Callithrix jacchus: one gene and its partner. The protein of the gene in region 1 interacts with the protein of each later gene in a biochemical or structural test. Links are inferred from orthologs where the notes say so. Each region holds a gene or a part of one and is shown on either strand. Other genes may lie near its edges. The genes, in order: MYB and NLK.

Region 1 (9,288 bases):
AGCTCTTTTGAAAATAGTAATGGGTTCTTTTAAATCCATGGATTTCTTCTGGGGAAATCCCTTAGTTCTGAATTAGGTCACATTTTATAGTATTTCAAACACCGTTCTGTCAGAGACAGAAAAAGCAAAAGAGTAAGTAAGACTCTGACTAACAGGTGGCCTAATTATTCACTTAGTTACTCTAGAAACTAAGTATTGTAAACATGGGCACAACTTGGATCAACTAGGCCCGGAGTTGTGAGCAATTTGGTATTAATTTTATTTACAAAACACTGAAGTTTGATCACTCATGTTCTTATCTTTCCTTAGGTTTTAAAATCCTTTCCTCTTAGATTCTCCTAATCTTCTAGACTTTATGGGATGACTATAATTATGTTTGGGGGTGTATTGCTTCTTGATTTTTTTCTTCTTTTAATAAAACAAAAGCCCCATTGAAATAACATAATTGAATTGTTTATTATGTTTGAGAAATATTTAAACAATGTGACAAATGCCAAAGATTTTGAGTGTGTACTTAAAGAAAGGACACGGGTTCTCGTTCCTTTTCTTGTCCTTAACCTTAAGTTTTGAACTTCATTGGCTGGAAGGTGGCCAAATGTGTAACTTGTCCCTGGTCTAACAGTAACAGCAGGTTCAGACATGCAGGGGAATAGGAAGGTGCCAGGTCCTTGACTGTATCTGTGGATACCCATAACAGCAGAACCAGTTTACAATACTAGAGCAACAGAATGCAGCAAACAATCTTGTTGTGCAAGTTTGCAAAGTTTTACCTTTGTAACCTTTGAAAAGATTATTGAGTTTTTGTGGAAGTTTTGTAATCCAGTAGTAGTCTAAATCCTCATGTTTCAGCCCACATCTGCCCATTCCTATTTCTGCAGCATATATAGCAGTGACGAGGATGATGAGGACTTTGAGATGTGTGATCATGACTATGATGGGCTGCTTCCCAAGTCTGGAAAGCGTCACTTGGGGAAAACAAGGTGGACTCGGGAAGAGGTAACTGATCATTTTATCAAAACATGGAAAACAGATAGAGTGTATAATTTATACAAAACAGAATTTCAACTAAACTACAGGTGCTCCAGCTCGTTAGCAGGCTCTTTGATATCTTATCCTAGCCTGCATGTACAGCGTGCCTTACACCCCGCCCCCAATTATATTATCCATTTCCACACTATTTGCAGTTCTTTGAATGTCGTCTTCTTCTTCTCATTTTAGACTTCGTCTATGTTTCCTTCTGCCTGTTGAGTTCTCATTCTTTTGTCCCATCTCTTCTTCCTGCTTTTACATTGCCTATGAAGGCATCACCTCTTCTGTGAAGCCACCCCTGGCTTCACTGGGAAGGACTGGATGCATCCTCCTGTGAGCCCATGCATGAGTGCATGTTCTGCTTTATTGTTGCTGGGACATAGATGCCTCCTCTAGCTGACTGCAAGTCTGTTGAGGGCAGGACTCAACATCTATTCACTTTTTTTTTCCTTTTTTCACATATATATATATATATATATATATATATATATATTTTTTTTTTTTTTTTTTTTTTTTTTGAGGGGCCGGAGTTTCACTCTTGTTACCCAGGCCAGAGTGCAATGGCATGATCTTGGCTCACTGCAGCCTCGGCCTCCTGGGTTCAGGCAATTCTCCTGCCTCAGCCTCCCGAGTAGCTGGGACTACAGGCCTGCACCACCATGCCCAGCTAAAATGTCTGTTAATCTTTGTGTTTCCTGAACTCACAAGTGCTTGACCCAAAGTAGGATATTAATAAATGTTCTCTGAATAGTGAATGACTTACTTTCCCTAAAACAAAATAGACAAAAGGATACTCAGAGAACTCATCTTTTTACAATGTATTCATTTAAGATCTTTGATATATTTCACAGAGCCATATATATGAAGGTATGCTCTAAAAGCGTCCAGTAATGGATGAAGACACATCTGCTTCCCCTGTTTCTTTTTCGGCTAGCTTGTCAAAAGTTTGATTTTGTAGGAATGGAAAAATACTTCAGAAGCAAAATTAATAATATGTGGAGAAAAGTTTCTCTAATGTTCTTAGACATTTTTGCAACTAATTTTAGATGATTCTTGTTACAATAAATGGTATTGGCTCATCTTCAGTTTCACTGTGCTCTGCTTCATTTAAACCAGAGCTCCTTTTGACAGGCAGGTAGGATTCCCAGAGGGGTCCATAGGAAATTCACATTTTACCTATTAAGCATGTGCACTTGGTTAATCCTTGTGCTCTGGAAATTCTGTTGTCCCCATTGGCTTCCTAATTCTTGTGTATGGTATGGTACCAGGGACCTTCGTTGTGTATGAATGTTACCTTTGCAGAAATATAAGAAGGAATACATTTTTTAAAGACACTTATGAACTGGTAGGTTATGAACAGCATATAAACTAAAAGAACTGATTACCTGCAAATGTTGAGTGTCTTTTATGTTCTAACACATTTGGCCTCATTTATATTGTGAATATATTGGTGCAAAAACTAAATGATTTTATTTAGTCTTCAAGTTTAATTTTAAAAATGATCTTCATTTCTGTATAAAGGGTTAAAATAACTGGAAATATTCTATTTCTTGCTCAAGATTTTATTTATTGCTGTAGGTAAATATGTACTGAATAAAGCATTGGCATGCATTTTTCCCCACAGAGTAAAGCAGTTATTTGTATATTAAACACACACTATATGCCAGGCATTATGATAAGTGTTTGCAAAATTGCCTCATATAATCCCCAAATAACCCTGTTAATATCAGCCTCATGTTAATAAATTGCCTCATTTAATCCCCAAATAACCCTGTTAATTTCCATTTTATAGATGGCAATACTAAGGCACAGAAAGGGAAAATGATAAACCCACTTTACACAATCAGTAGTGGAGTCAAGATGCCAAACTCTGGTCTGACTAAATATATGCTCCCAAGTCAGTATATTACATTAATACCTGCTGTATTTGGATACTTTTGAGAGATTTTCTATTCTGGATTCGTTCCCTCATTCACTTTAACTTGAACAGAGTTATATAGTAAATGACTGATATCCTAGGATTACCTTTAAATGTCATAGGATGAAAAACTAAAGAAGCTGGTGGAACAGAATGGAACAGATGACTGGAAAGTTATTGCCAATTTTCTCCCGGTAAGCTAGTAACTTTTTCTTATTACAAAAGGAAAGCTTCTCCCAGTGATTTCTATAAAATATTCTAGGAGGGGTTATTAAGATAGTATATTATTTGCTCACATTTAAGAAGTAGGAGAAATGCCTTACCCATAACTTACATTTTATATTATAATGCATATAATTGGGATTTCTAAATTGATTATTGGAATTTAGATTATTAGAATCAATTATTATAATTTAGATTGTTGAATTTTAAAAACAATTGCTTCTTGTTTTATCTTTTCATGTATAGGTTAATTTGTATTTCGATAATTTGTTACGTGGTAGATGATTAAACTTGTTCTTTCCTCCAAGTCAGTTTTTCCTGAATTCCCTGTTTTTGTCAATAGCAATACTTTTGGCACCAGGGTTTAAAATTCTGGAGACCTTTCTTAACTTAGTGCATACCCCCAACCCCTACATCCAAGCAGTTACTAAGGATCCTGGAATTCCTTTATAGTCAATCCCGTCCTTTACATTCTCATGGCTGTGCTGAAGGTTGGGCTTCTGCCTTCTCATTTGGACTATCATACAACTTCCTAACTAGCTTCCCCACTTGTAGTTTTCCATTTTTCTTTCTTTCTCTTTTTTTTTTTTTGAAATGGAGACTAGCTTTGTCACCTAGGCTGCAGTGCAGAAGCACAGTCTCGGCTCACTGCAACCTCCACCTTAGCTGGGATTACAGGCACCTGCCACCACACCTGGCTAATTTTTGTATTTGTAGTAGAGACAAGGTTTCACGATGTTGGTCAGGCTGGTTTCAAACTCCTGACCTCAAGTGATCCACCCACCTCAGCCTCCCAAAGTGCTGGGATTACAGGTGTGAGCCACCGTGCCTGGCCAGTTTTCTACTTTTCCATCCATCCCAAACACCATTGGCAGGTGGGACTTCCTAAAATGCAGCTGTACCTTATCTTTTCAAAACGAACCACAGTGACTTAGAACTCACAAATTAAGTAAACTGCCTTGACCTGGCACATAGAGGCCCTCCTCTATTGCCCCAACTTCTAGCTCCAGTTCTGTTTCCTACTTCCTCTCTGTAAGCAGGTTTGCTTGAATTTATTTCTGCTTTCCCTCCTCTGGGCTTTTGCTCCTGGTGTTCCCACCTCCTAGAATGTTCTCCTTTTACATCACCAATTAAAGTTTTGTTCATCCTTCAAAGTCCTTATGAAGAGCTCTTCCAGACTCCTCTCAAGGAAACCATTTCACCTCCTAAGAAGATGCTTCTCTCCTCACTTCAGTATCATTTTGCTTTGGTCTTTTCTTCCATATGAATCAAATTCAGCCTCTGTGATAATCAGTCATCTATTTGTCTTTTCCCTCTTAAAAGATTACAAGCTCCTGTAACATAGGAACTGTCTTTTATGGATCTTTATTCCTTCTGCAATATAAATACCGTGGTCCTGAACTGAAGCACATCTCTTGTTGGAATGGGAAGCAAACTTTAGTCATTTAGGGTGGGTTTCCATGAAAGCCTGACAATGTAGAATCTCTATCAAGCCTTAGGCCATGTAGATACTCTGCAGATGTATCTCAGGTTAAGGTTAAGTTGACAGGTGCGTGTGTAGTATGATGGTCCTTTGGTTCATGCGGCAGGACTGTTTCCCTCAGGAGGCAGAATGTATAATCTTAGAGCAACTTTGATGGATTACTTGCATGTTCTGTAGTCTGTAAATAATGAGGGATAGGTGAGCTCTAAGCATGCTCTAAAATGTTCTTAAATATTTTCACGGCATATGGTCTGTGTGTGACTCTGTGACAACAATGAATTCATGTGCTTATCACTTCATATCTTTATGGTACTCTGTTTGTCTAGAATCGAACGGATGTGCAGTGCCAGCACCGATGGCAGAAAGTATTAAACCCTGAGCTCATCAAGGGTCCTTGGACCAAAGAAGAAGATCAGAGAGTAAGTTCTTTCTTCATTGGTGTGTGAATCATAATTAAGAATATTCCCCAAATGCTGAATTTTTTCTGTTTGAGGAAGCAGGTAAAATGGGCAAACAGGAAGTAGAGGACTCTCTTCCCATATTTCCAATGAATGAAAGCAAATTTTGGAAATTTTCTAAAGATCTTGTAACACTGAAGAATGAATATACTAACTCATTACATAACATTAAAACATAGGTTATTTTTGTGTGTTTATCTGAAGGTGATAGAGCTTGTACAGAAATACGGTCCGAAACGTTGGTCTGTTATTGCCAAGCACTTAAAGGGGAGAATTGGAAAACAATGTAGGGAGAGGTGGCATAACCACTTGAATCCAGAAGTTAAGAAAACCTCCTGGACAGAAGAGGAAGACAGAATTATTTACCAGGCACACAAGAGACTGGGGAACAGATGGGCAGAAATCGCAAAGCTACTGCCTGGACGGTAATAATATGTCAAAAAAATATATTGATCGGGAAGAATGAGGGAGTGGGTATTGGACATTCTGCTTAAAATGTATGGTGAGTGAATTAAATTTCATCAGTCGTAAGTGTTTTATTAGATAGCCCAGCTACATAGCTTTTAGAGACTGAAGACATCTTAGAGTTTATTTGGTTGAGAACTTTCGGGATCCACCTGACAGTGAGCCCAGGGTAAAGACATTTAACTCTCCCCAATTTCCCTATTTCCAAAATGACTCACACCAGGGCCAGTGTTAGGATCAAGTGAAATGAATGTCAAAGGACTTGGTAAATTATAAAACTCTAAATGCATAGAAAGAAACTGAAGGCAGTTTGTCTCTGGCTGAGTTCACATAGCTGGTTAAGTGACTCAGAGGAACTCAGCCACCATTTTCCTGATAACCATCATTCTTTTTTTTTTTTTTTTGAGACAGGGTCTTGCTCTGTCACCCAGGCTGGAGTGCAGTGGTGCAATCTTGGCTCACTGTAATCTCTGCCTCCCGAGTTCAAGCAATTCTCCTGCCTCAGCCTCCTGAGTAGCTGGGACTACAGGCACATGCCACCATGCCCAGTTCATTTTTGGATTAGCTGGGGTTTCACCCTGTTGGCCAGGATGGTCTCAATCTCCTGACCTCTTGATCCACCTGCCTCGGCCTCCCAAAGTCCTGAAATTACAGGCGTGAGCCACGGCACCCGGCCTTGTTCATTTCTTTAATTTTTTTTTTTTTAAGAGACAGAGGCTTCTTCTGTCACACAGGCTGGAGTGCAGGGGCATGAGCATAGCTCAATACATCCTTGAACTCCTGGGCTCAAGGGATCCTTTCACCTCAGCCTCTTGAGTAGCTAGGCCTACAGGTGCACGCCACTACACCCAACTGATTTTAAAACACTTTTGTAGAGTTGATCTTACTGTGTTGCCCTGGCTGGTCTCAAACTCCTGGCCTCAAGCAATCCTTTTGCCTCCCAAAGTGCTGAGATTATAGGCATGGGCCACTGTACCTGGCCACCAATATTCATTTTATTATACCACTTTGCTTAATTTTTTACTCCATTGATTAAAGAAATAAGGTATTTCTCGAATTCTCATACTACTTCAAGGATTTTAAATGTCAATATAATAATGCTTTCTTTTTAATGAACAAGGCAAAGAAATGACCTCATTATGAGAGATAACTATGGAAGCTCATTTTTGTCCCATTTTCCCACTTAAATAGTATATAACAGATTTTGTTACTCTGGAAAGCAGTACTTTTAATGATAAATTTTGCATAAAAATGATACAGATAGAAAATATTAAAAATAGTTTTATTCTTGAGCTTCATAATCCAGGAGAAAGTTTATGTAGTATTCTCCAGTGATGCTCCAATGCATTTGCACCCTCGTGGTTCAGTATAAACTTAGAAAATTCAAGAGGTTGGTAAAAAGAGGTCTTCATTCCCATATGGCCTCAGAGGATACACTGCTGATTCTTCTCAAAATTAACAAGGCTATCGAACTTCCTCTTTCTTTAGCATGCATTCCCCCACCCCCATTGAAATAGTAAAAGGGAGGCTTAAACGGTTTTTTTGAATTGAGAAACTGTTTTTCCTGAGAATGGAAAGACTTTAGTAAAAAGGCGTTGCTGTTTGAAACTATACTGCGGGGGTTAGGATCTTTCCCTTGGGAATGCCATTTTCCACCCTCATCTCTGTCTGATTGGAATAACAATTGGGGTGGTTTTTAAAGGGTAGGAGGTTTTTTGGTCTCAAAAGTTCTTGCTAGTCCTTCGAGAGATAAAGAGTGAAGTATTCTTCATCAGCAGCATCTTATCACCCACCAAACTTCACCGTGTCCCTATTGTGGTGTGTAGGCCCTGCTGTGCTGCATTCAAAGAAGGAATTTCTTCAAAGCAGCTGGAACTTCACATTGTGTTAGAGTCTTGTACCACAAACGGTCAGAATAATTATGAAGCGTCATTGTATTGAAAATACTCCTTTACCAAGGAAATGAAATGGTTAAAAGATACTGACATTTCTAGAAAACGATGTGCATTCCAGATTGTGTAACTAAGAGAAATCTATGGATTTCTAACAAGGCAATAGAGAAAGCCTGATCTTAGGGGGTGGAGAAGAAGAAAACCATTAAAAAGGGGGAAAACTATGACTGGGCCCAAGGGAAAGGTCTGTGTTAGAAACAGTTTTCTGTCAATTCACTTTAATCTGAATTGAAATTTTTTGTTTGTGAAATTTGTATGTGATATATTTCTGTGCAGAACTGATAATGCTATCAAGAACCACTGGAATTCTACAATGCGTCGGAAGGTCGAACAGGAAGGTTATCTGCAGGACTCTTCAAAAGCCAGCCAGCCAGCAGTGGCCACAAGCTTCCAGAAGAACAGTCATTTGATGGGTTTTGCTCAGGCTCCACCTACAGCTCAACTCCCTGCAACTGGCCAGCCCTCCGTTAACAATGACTATTCCTATTACCACATTTCTGAAGCACAAAATGTAAGCCATTCTTGAGAATCTGGTTTAATGAGAGAGATGGTTAATTTAGCTCCAGGTAGTAATCATATTTTGCAGTTGTATACTGTTCAGAGAACCTTCCTGGGCATGATCATGGCCAGTCGTCTTCAACTTTCCTGGGCATGATCATGAGGTAGATAGGGTGTAGATATTGTTTGTTATCACTGGTTTATGTCTTCAGAAATGAAGATGGTAAGTGCTTTGCTCAGGGTGACATAGAGATAGTGTTGACTAGAATTCTAACTTGCTGCTTCAAATCTAATTTGAAGGTAACCTTTGAATGTAAATGTACTTAAGGTACGGTTGAAGAATAAGGGAATGGAGTTGCATTTGTAGATGTAACACTTTTCTCTACCAAAACCAAAAGGAAAGATATATTTAAAGATATATTTAAAGAGTTTGACAGTGAAATTCAGTGGTTATGGTATATTCAGTTCTGGTAATGATCTAGCAGACATGTCTTGATTTATTCACTCAGTAAGTGTTTACCCTCTTATTCTAAGTCAGGAGCAGAACTTTGTGACATTCATTTTCTGATGCCTCCTCTTAGTCTCCTTTGGATCAGTGTGATCCCTTCCTTATTTCTAGATGTTTTTATTTAGAGAAAGAGATAATCCATAATAGGTGGGAAAAGAAAAAGAGGAAAAGAAATCGAGAAGCTTTAATCTTAAGACTAACAATAATAAATGATGAAACTTACCCAAGAATGGGTAGGCTTATATGCAAATTCTATGCAAAACATGTTCATAAATAGTTTTTATTCTTCTCTGTTCATGCATTTGACTACAAACTTTACAGAAAGGTCTCAGATGAATACATTATCATAAGAAGTTCTGTGCTTTTTATTAAAATTCATAATTATTCCAAGAAAAATATTTTTATTTACACACAGCTGGTGCCATTAGTTTTTCCCATAGAAACTATTTTCAAACATTCATTCATGTATTTAGATTATATTTTTTATTTTTTCATTGTGTTTTTCTCTAATTAAGGAAATTAAAGTGCCAGTAACTTCCCAAAATTTAAAGTGCTCATCAACATTTCCCAAGGATCTATAAGCACTTTAAATTTTTTTACTATGTTGCTTTAGCTATTTAACCATTTTAAAGGCCTGGCTAAATTTCACAGTAAAAGGTTTTTAAAAATTGTTTAGTGTATTTCAGTCCCAGAACAAAACCTCAGGAAGCCAAGTCCCCTGAAGCATATGTAACCCTGAATGACGTGGCCTTTGT
Region 2 (9,807 bases), on another chromosome or scaffold:
TTCATTTGTTACATTCTGAAAAGAAAAAATTAATTTCTTCCCTTTATATAAATTCATAATACTTTTTAAAAGAGTTCAAATGATCTGACAAGAACACCTATAAAGTCCATACAAATGTGTATTATTTTTGTTTGTAATTAATTTGACAGGACAGCACAGAGTATTTTTCCCTTGGCTTTAAATTCAACCTTTTTTTAATCTCCCTGGCATACAGTACAACTGAGGGGACACGCTATGTTATTTAGAGTCATGCCTCCAAAAATAGTCTGCACGCTGATTTCACCTGATAAATCTGACAATCTATGAAGACACTTCATTGCATGTTAACACAACAGCTTGATTTTTCTACCAACAATAACTACAATAAAAACAGCTAACACTTATTGATGCTTACTGTGTGCTAGACAGTGTACTCCTTGGTTTACAAGAATTACCTCACTTAATTTTCACACCAATTCTGAGCTAAGTACTACTATTATCCCCCTTTTATAGATGAGGAACAGAGAGGTCAAATAATTTATCAAGATCACAGAGCTAGTAAGTAACTACCACTATAGTTTTGAAAGATAAAAGTAACCTGTTGAAGTTATTAGGATAATAAAATTCAAAGACCTCCAGCATTACTTGGAGTACACAAAAAGGCAAAAGCGCAGGTGAATCCCAGGCTTTTTGATCTTTTAATTAATCAGGTAAGTTACAAACCAAAACGCTAATTTTACAAAATAGCTTTTCCCAGACTCACTTTTACCAAGGTGGCAATATGTGTCATTAACTCCATCTCTGATATGTTAAGTGGCCAATGACAAAACTGCCTAGGTGTAGTGGCCCTCAAACCACTCTCAGGTGGTTAACTTCCTCCAACTTTCAACATTATATACTTCATGAGCCCCTGAAATTCTTTGTCCCAAAGCATTTTCCTCTGGCAAATGTGAACTACAGACAAAAAGGAAGATTTATATTACACTGACCAAGTGATTGAAGTTACTATTCGTGGGTTGTTTTGTTTTGTTTTTGCATTATGAAAATGTCCCTGTGGGTGTTTGGAAGCTGAGTTTCATAAAGACAGTCAAATTATATATGACATTTTGATAACCCATAAACAACATTCTATCAGTGGCAACAAATGTATCTCAGGCTATCCCACAATCACATTACCAGGTAAACTGGAACTCTTACTTTGAGATAAAATACAGCAGACAGTTGTTAATGAAACCTTAATTGAACTGTCATAGCACCATCTTTACCAGCAAGCTAATGAGTAATTCACTATTTTACACAACTGTCCAATACTGATAAGTTAGTCCACTAGTTAAATTCAGCAAGATAAATAAAAGTCAGCTTGACTGAATTGTTCAGTGATAAATCTGGTAAAATGCTGCATCACTTCTACAAATATCTCTCCTTGTCTACATGGAAAAACAACAATCCCTCTCAAAATTGCATGCTGCTTTTGTAGCCATCAGTTAGTACTGCTGGGTGTATGTCCCCAAGGAAATGAAGGCAAATACAGTTTCTTGTCATATGCTATGCCAGAAGGATACTTGCAAAACGCATTAAATGAATATATATTTGAATTAAATGAATCTTATAATACCCAGGTAGTTAGTTATATGGTGGTTTGAATCAAATGATGTATCACTGGGAGAAAATCTTTACGTTCCATTTTAATCATTTTAGAAAAAAAGTTGTTTCCAATTCATAAGGTGCTTTCTAAGTTAAAAACAAAAATTCTTTTTAATTAAAAAGTAAAAAAATAAAATAAAATTCAGTAATACCTTTACCTTGGGTTCCAGAAAACTAGTACCTGTAGTTTGGTTTTCAAATCTCTAAACAGTCTTACTTAGGTCATACAACAGTTAAATTTCAAATCTAATAAGCAATTCAGACAGGAAGTCACCGACATGTAAATATAAAAATAGGAAAGTATTTGCATATAAAACATACACCTGAAACTCTTTCCTTTTTCATACCAAATTGTATTTCAACTGTAATAGCTGATGAAAACACTCAATGCAGTTAACTAGAAAAACTTGGTTAAAAAAAAAAAGACACAAATCACGTGAGGACGCAGAGAGGGTGGCCATCTACAAGCCAAGAAGAGAGGCCTCAAAAAAAACCAAGCCTGCACCTAAATCTTGGATATCTAGCCTCCAGAACTATGATAGATAATTTTCTGTTGTTTAAGTCAAATCAAGGAAGGACCTTACTAGATCAATTAACCAAGCAGTATAGATGCTAAAGCACTGTGCTAGGTGCCAAGAAGAAAAGGATTACTACAATAGACAATCCTTACCCTCAAGGGGCTTACGAATGTACTCAGTGACACACGGCAAACCTGAAATAAGATGGTACTTAAAGCAGTACTTTAAGTACATGAGACAAACACCATAGGTCTTAGAGCAGTCAATCAATTAAAGAACTTGAAAATGGATTCAAATCAAATACATTTGGGCTTTCAGATATCAGTGATTCACAGTACCCACTAGCAAAATGTTTGCTGTGTGAGATGTTTCAGTACTCCAGTTCTTTATTGCCCCTTTCTTAAAAATAATAAAGTTTAAAAATCTTCTCTTGCCACCAACTTGAAGTGAAAACTGCTACAAGTTACATCACTTTTTGATAGACATGTAAGTGAAAAATGCCTTTAGAATATATTCAAGAATGCTGCAACCCTTTCAGTATCCCTAGTTTTTAACATTGCACATAAGGCACTAAAAAAGCAAGCAAGCATCCAGATCTAAGAAGATCCAAACAAGTGCTAAAAGTTATTAGTAAATCAATGACAAAATTTAAACCAAGGAACAGGAAAATTTAAATTTTCCTGTTTGCTCCATCCCCCAACCAAAGCTTGGAAATCCTCAAGAATTAGGCAAGGATAGGAAATTCACAGTAAAATCTCTGAGACAGTCTATGGAAGAGAAGAGAGGAAAGCAGGAACAGGCAGGTCCCTGAGCAAAATGACAGAGAGGCACCATTACCAGCTATGCTCTTTCCCACCTGGAATCCCACACACCTTGGAGAAAGGACCATGCTGCAGCAGAAACTTCCTTGCAGACTAGCTGAGCAAACACCAGACACTACTAGTTTAAAAAATGATGAGATCACTTAGTAGCCTAGATTATCAAATCTGAAATATAAATACGATGGCAAGTTAAAATGCATAAACGATGTGCCTATCATTTTTAGCCTCAAAAACAATGACAAAAGGGGATATTTACCAGGCTAGTTCCAAAGAGTTCATTTGCCTGTAGTAATGGGGGCTTTTTAGATAGTAACAAGAATCAATTTTGAATGCACTGAAAATATCAATTCATCTATCCAAAGTGCAATCATCAGTCCTTGGGAGAAAACAGTTCATTCTAGTTTTGATAGGAACAAACATATCTTATTATAAACTACTAATCCTTTTAAGGTTAAACCGAATAGATCATGTTTTAAGAAGCCCTTAGACTTTTACAAATATCCTAGCACTAGCAAAAGTAGTGTCATTTGTTTAAAAAGTATATTTCCTACTATAGCAACTGACCAACAGATAACAGCAACTTAAGAGGCACTAAATGACACTAAAACATTACACGGAATGTGGGCCACTGCATAGCTAGTCTACTAACCTCATTTGTGGTACTCATGTGTGATGCTATATTTAATGCATTCTTATCAAAAGGCTAAAGCTACATACTTCCCAACCGTAGCTTTATGGTTTAAAATAAAACCACTCAAGCAATGATCTTAACTGGTTCAACTATGAATCCTCCCTTTCTTCTGGCAATCAAGATCACAAAGTAAGGAGTGAAATGACAGAAAGGATAAGAAAGTTACACAAAGTATATCCTAAGGACAAGAGTATTATAAAGGAATTGAGTCTGGATCAGTTGCTAACGCTTAATCCCATTGGGCAACTGATCCAAAAGAAATCAAACACATGAGATGACCAAGACCTCTGTAGGAATTAGTATTCCATACATTCATCTACTGATCCTGTGTTCAGTAGCTTGCTTAGGTTCTAACAGAAAAGTTTGGTAGACAACAAACTTATGTGTGTTGCTCATTAGACGGTGATCCACCAAAACTTGCCATGAGCCTAGACAGCCGATGCATGAGGCCTCTTTACCACGTAATGAGGGTGGCTTCCCGCAGTTGGGTTGAGAAGCTTGCTCCACCTTGGTCAACATGGAGAAAACCATAAGGGATGGAATCACCCAATCGCAACCATCAGAAGAAACCATGAGAGGTTGTGTTCTTCTTTTGATACTCACCAGACAACACCAAAGGCTCCATATCCAATAGGTCTATCCGGTTCAATATCCAGCTGTTGTTGTGGATGATGCGAGTGCTGATGATGATGCGCCTTAACTGTAGCAGCTGCGGCAGCCTGTACCTGAGCTGGGGCTGCTGCAGCTGGTCCAGGAGCCTGCCCCGGTGCCGGTGATGGGAAATATGGCTGTTGTTGCCCAGGGTTTAACATGGCTGCAGCTGCAGCCGCTGCTGCGGCTGCCGCAGCTGCCGAAGAGGTGTGCTGCTGTACAGGGTGTACAGCGGCAGCTGACCCCGGATGAAGATGGTGTTGAGGGTGGTGGTGGTGGTGCAGGTGAGGAGGTGGGAGGTGTGGAAGGTGGTGGTGATGGTGGTGGTGGTGACCTGCTGCTGCTGCAGATGTACCGCCATTGTAAGCCGCCATCATTTTTGCGTTGGCTCTTGCGCCACAAAGAGACATTCAAAATAAATGCCCTTTGATTGGAAAGCAAACTGGGTCAAGCTGTCATTTGGCCATTTAAAAATGAAGAAAAACCACTCACTCCCCCTCAAAAAACATAGAGCGTAACTGGCTTTATGTCTTCATCAGTCAATCCAAACAAGTTAAGAGGATCTTGGTGTTTTAATTTTGGGGTGAGCGTGTGTGGAAGGGTGTGGACTGCCAAAAGGAAAAAAAGGAAAAAAAGAAAAAAGAAAAGAAAAAGGAAAAAAGGACCCCTTCCCCCCAGGATTCCTGCCACAAGTGGGTACTAAAACTCCATTCTTAATTCGGGGGAGGTTCCAACTTTGAATGTGGGAATAAAGGCCAAACCTCCCGACCCCCTGAACTCCACACACGAAAAGGATCTGGTAACACACCACCCTTGGAATCTTGAAAGAAGGTTGACTCATCTACCCCTTCCATTCCCACATCCTTTTCTAAACACCTACCACCTCCTCAAAAACACGATTAAAAAAAATTCCCACCACCCTAAATGGAGAAGATAGGGGGAAATTATCTGGGAAACCAGCTTCCAGCTTCCAGCTTCCCCCCCCTCGAACTCTCAGGCCTTCCTACATCTCCCCCTATTCCTAGTCAGGTTGACCTGATTGGGGAGGGGGGGGCGGGGGGTTCTAAACTTTCCTGGGCAGAATGAGCCAGGAAAGGAGGCTGGAGTGTGGAGAGAAGGCGACAGCAGGACAGAGAGAAGAGCGAGCCGGGGCAAAAGTGAAGGGAAGGAGGTGCAGGGAGGAATGAAAGAGGTGGGCAGAGCTCGGACGCCCAGACAGAGGGAACCGCCCCGGGAGAAGGTTAGGGTCCCGGGGCCAAAGAATAGGAGCCCCGGGAGGCGGGCGGGGTACGGTCGGAAGCGGGCTGACTCCTGCCCCCGCCGCCGGCTGCTTCTGCTGAGGGTTGGGGGGGAGAGCGGGTGGGTCCCCCGCGCGACGGCCCCGCAGGGCTCAAGGCTGCTCCGTCTCCCCCCCTCCCCCCCACCCAGCTTCCGTCCCCGCGGCCGCTTTCTCCTCAGCCGCCGCGGCCACTTTCTCCTCAGCCGCCGCCTCCTCAGCCGCCGGTGCCGCCGCGGCCGGACTCACCTCCCCTAGCAAAGCCGGATAGAGCGGAGCCAGCGGCGGACACGCGCAACCAGCCGCCGAGGCCCCGCCCCCGCCTTGCACTGACCGGCTGCCCTAGCCAATCCACGCCCACCTGTCCGCAACTGCCTCCAATCCTGGACCATTAGCTTCAGACAGGCGCACTGTTCGGCCAGTGGCAACAAGGTGTGGGTCTTCTGGGGAAATCCCGCCCCCGATGCGGGATGGGCAGATAGAAAGACCAATCAAAGAGAGACTTTGGCTTGACCGACAAAGCGTAAAGCCAATTCAAAACCAAAGATCTTTGTGACATTTTTCTCTCGCCTCTCTTTTCTTTTTCTTCTTTTATTTATTTATTTATTTTTTTTGGCAGGAGCAGGAAGCTGCGTGCTAATCCCGCCTGCAAAAGCTGGAAGAGAGGGGCAGAATGAAAGAACCAATCATGAGCCGGAGACAAAGAACAGAGCAACCAATCCTTGGGTTGAAAATGAAGGGGGATAGAACCTGGGCCAGATAGACACTTGACTTGACAAATGGAAATAAAAGATTGATGTAAGTCCCGCCCTTTAGCTCTCCTATAGAACAGGATTGTGGAGAATTTGCTGTCATAATGAGACAACCTCTTCAAGGGGCAGGACTTGGGGAAAGGGGTGGGGTCTTGAAGTGGGCGGGACCTAGATGAAGAAGGCGGAGTCCAAATCACTGGTCCATTGATCTGTGCTGTCTAATATCCCATTTAATATGTAAAGTGTGAGGAAAGAAATAGGGAAAGAAAAAGGGAATGTCTGAGGCCAGGCGCGGTGGCTCACACCTGTAATTCCAGCACTTTGGGAAGCCGAGGAGGGTGGATCACGAGGTTAAGAGATCGAGACCATCTTGGTCAACATGGTGAAACCCCGTCTCTACTAAAAATACAAAAATTAGCCGGGCTTTTGGCACACACCTGTGGTCCCAGCTACTCGGGAGGCTGAGGCGGAAGAATCGCTTGAACCCGGGAGGTGGAGGTTGCAGTGAGCCGAGATTGCGCTACTGCATTCCAGCCTGGCGACAGAGCAAGACTCTGTCTCAAAAAAAAAAAAAAAGAAAGAAAGAAAGAAAAGAAAAAGGGAATGTTGAGCTTCGGAAACTCAAGGTGCAAGGTCACCCAACAAGAAGATAGTTACAAAAGAAACTCAGTAGACTGACAGTTCATAGTCTACGGCTGGTCCTCCATGGTTAATCCTGATGTTGGCAAAAAGTGGAGGAATCTCCAACATTCAGAAACCCATTGTCAACAGATGATAAAGCTGTTGGTGCAAATTTTTAAAAGTAAACTTGACCACAAAAATGACAATTTTCTTTCATCTTTCTTTCTTAACAGGGTCGCATTCTGTCACCTAAGCTGGACTGCAGTAGTGCAGTCCTAAATCAATGCAGCCTCCAGTTCCTGGTTCAAGTAATCTTCCTGCCTCAGCCTCCCAGATAGTTGGGATTACAGATGTGCACCCCCATGACCGGCTGATTCTTTAAGTCTTTAGAAACACGGTCTCAATATGTTGCCCAGACTGGTCTCAAATTCTTAGGCTCAAGAGATCCTCCTGTCTCCCACCTCGGCCTCCCAAATTTCTGGAATTACAGGCATGAGCCACCACCCCTAGTCTCTTCCATATTTTCTATCAAGTAAGTTTCTGTCATTGAAAGCTTACTAAAATAGCATGTTTCCTTTACATCACTTCACTTATCTGAATTTATCCTTCTTTTAAATGTAAAATAATAAGCTTACAGAAACTTATCCCTACTCAGAAACTTGGAGGTCATCTTCAATCCCTCCTTTGCCTGTCCACATTGTCCCTTCCAATCAATCAATCATCAAGTCTTTTTTGTTTTGTTTTGTTTTGTTTTCTGAGACAAGATCTCTGATGCCCAGTCTGGACTGCAGTGGTGTGACCACTGCTCACTGCAGCCTCCACCTCTTGGGCTCAGGTGATCCTCCCACCTCAGCCTCCGAAGTAGCTGGGACTGCAGCATGCTCTACCAACCCAGCTAATTATTGTTTTTGGTTTTTTTTTTGTAAAGATGGGGTTTTGCATGTTGCCCAGGCTGAATCACCAAGTCTTAAACAATTTTAAATCTCCCTCACTTCTGCTTCTTCCCAGTCACACAGCATTTACCCAAATTTACACCACTAGCATCTTTAACGACTTCCCTGCCTACAAGCTAGCTCTGCTTTGATCCATCCCTCTAGGGAGCATAATAAACTTTGAAAAATGGAAATCTGACTGGGCGTGGTGCCTCATGCCTGTAATTCAAGCACTTAGGAGGCCAAGGTGGGCAGATCAATTGAGGTCGGGAGTTCAAGACCAGCCTAACCAACATGGTGAAACCCTGTCTTAAAAAATAATAATAATAAAATAAAATAATTCAAATCTGAGACCTGATTGCAGGTGAAGTGCTCACACCTGTAATCCCAGCGCTTCGTGAGGCCAAGGTGGGTGTATCCCTTGAGCTCAGGAGCTCGAGATCAATCCAGGCAATGCAGCAAAACCCTATGTCTACAAAAAATACAAAAATTAGCGGAGTGTGTGGTACACATGTCTCTAGTCCCAGCTACTGTGGAGGCTGAGGTGGGAGGATAACATGAGCCAGGGAGGTAGAGGCCACAGTTAGCTGAGATCCCACAAGTGCACTCCAGCCTGGGTGACATGGGTGACAGTAAGATCGTGCCTCAAAAAAAAAAAAAAGTCTGGCTGAATCCCTAAATAGTCTGGCAATGATCTGGTTCCTGCTACCTATCTCAAGGGTCTTATCTCTCTCCTCCACCCTCTACATTTCAGACATTTTGAACTTCCTGCAGCTCCTTGTATGCTTTCAAGCATTCATGCATATCTTCAGCCCAAAACACTTCCCACCCACCCTCCACTCCTCTAATTCATCCCTCAGGTCTTCATGTAAATTTTACTTTTATTCCTGGAAAGTTCTCTCTAACTCTGTTCTAGAGTATATGTTTCTGTTGTATATCTCCATGACACTGCTTCCCTCATATTCTATATTTTAATTGCTTGTTGAATTTGACCAGGACAGAGAGCTTGTCTGTCTCACTCCATGTTGTATGCCCAGTTCTTTAGGACAGTGCTCGAAAAAGGAGAAGACACTTGCTACAGATTTGCCTGAATTGCTGAGTGCAGAAGTGGGTACAAACCCAAGCTCTGCCATTTACTTACTCTATAGCTTAAGCAACTTAACTAACCTTTCTCAATCTCAGCTGTGTCAACAGAAATAGCAATACATGACTCATCAGGTCGATATGAGGACTAAATGAGGTGATGTATTTAAAAGTGCTTGGTAAATAGTGAGAACGAAATATAAATTATCTTCAACACTTACCCTCATGTAATATTTGAGATGCCTTTCCAATTTTCCAATACACAGCACTCTTCTCCAAAGTGTAGTTTCCTAAAAGCTTCTTAGATGTACAGCAAATTATCTGGTGAAACCAGGACCTACTGAATTGCGGGAGGAGAGGAGGAATCTGTTTAACAAGCTCTCCAGGTGATTCTTATAAACGCTAGAGCTTAGGAAGCACAGGCCTAGAGTAAAGGAGCTTAGTCTTCATAAACTTTATTTTTCAGCACTTAGTATACTACTATTATAACACATAGAAAGTGCTTGATACACATGAAATGAATTAATTAATCTAATCCATGAGAAAACAATTTCACATCAAGAGTTATTTATTCCTTCCACAAACGTGTTGATCACTGATTTTTTTTTCTTTTCTTTCATTCTTCTTTTTTTTTAATTGCATTTTAGGTTTTGGGGTACATGTGAAGAACATGCAAGATTGTCACATAGGTACACACATGGCAGCGTGATTTGCTACCTTCCTCCTTTTCACCTATATCTGGCATTTCTCCCCATGCTATCTCTCCCCAACTCCCCACCCCCCACTGTCCCTCCCCTATTTCCCCCCGACAGACCCCAGTGTGTGATGCTCCCCTCCCA

Evidence for each region.
Region 2: of the proteins of MYB (region 1) and NLK, one has a biochemical effect on the other in vitro, tested with the Homo sapiens proteins (2 studies listed by BioGRID, with this or other methods). The link is inferred for Callithrix jacchus from reciprocal best matches to the Homo sapiens genes MYB and NLK.

Annotation. Positions count from the first base shown.
Region 1 is NC_133505.1:141,907,168-141,916,455, forward strand, and holds part of MYB (transcriptional activator Myb), read left to right. Parts: intron 1-878; coding exon 879-996; intron 997-3,069; coding exon 3,070-3,141; intron 3,142-4,978; coding exon 4,979-5,071; intron 5,072-5,314; coding exon 5,315-5,535; intron 5,536-7,803; coding exon 7,804-8,038; intron 8,039-9,288. UniProt on the Homo sapiens protein: Transcriptional activator; DNA-binding protein that specifically recognize the sequence 5'-YAAC[GT]G-3'. Plays an important role in the control of proliferation and differentiation of hematopoietic progenitor cells.
Region 2 is NC_133506.1:105,504,026-105,513,832, forward strand, and holds the start of NLK (serine/threonine-protein kinase NLK), read right to left. Parts: upstream 5,850-9,807; 5' UTR 4,715-5,849; coding exon 4,257-4,714; intron 1-4,256. UniProt on the Homo sapiens protein: Serine/threonine-protein kinase that regulates a number of transcription factors with key roles in cell fate determination. Positive effector of the non-canonical Wnt signaling pathway, acting downstream of WNT5A, MAP3K7/TAK1 and HIPK2.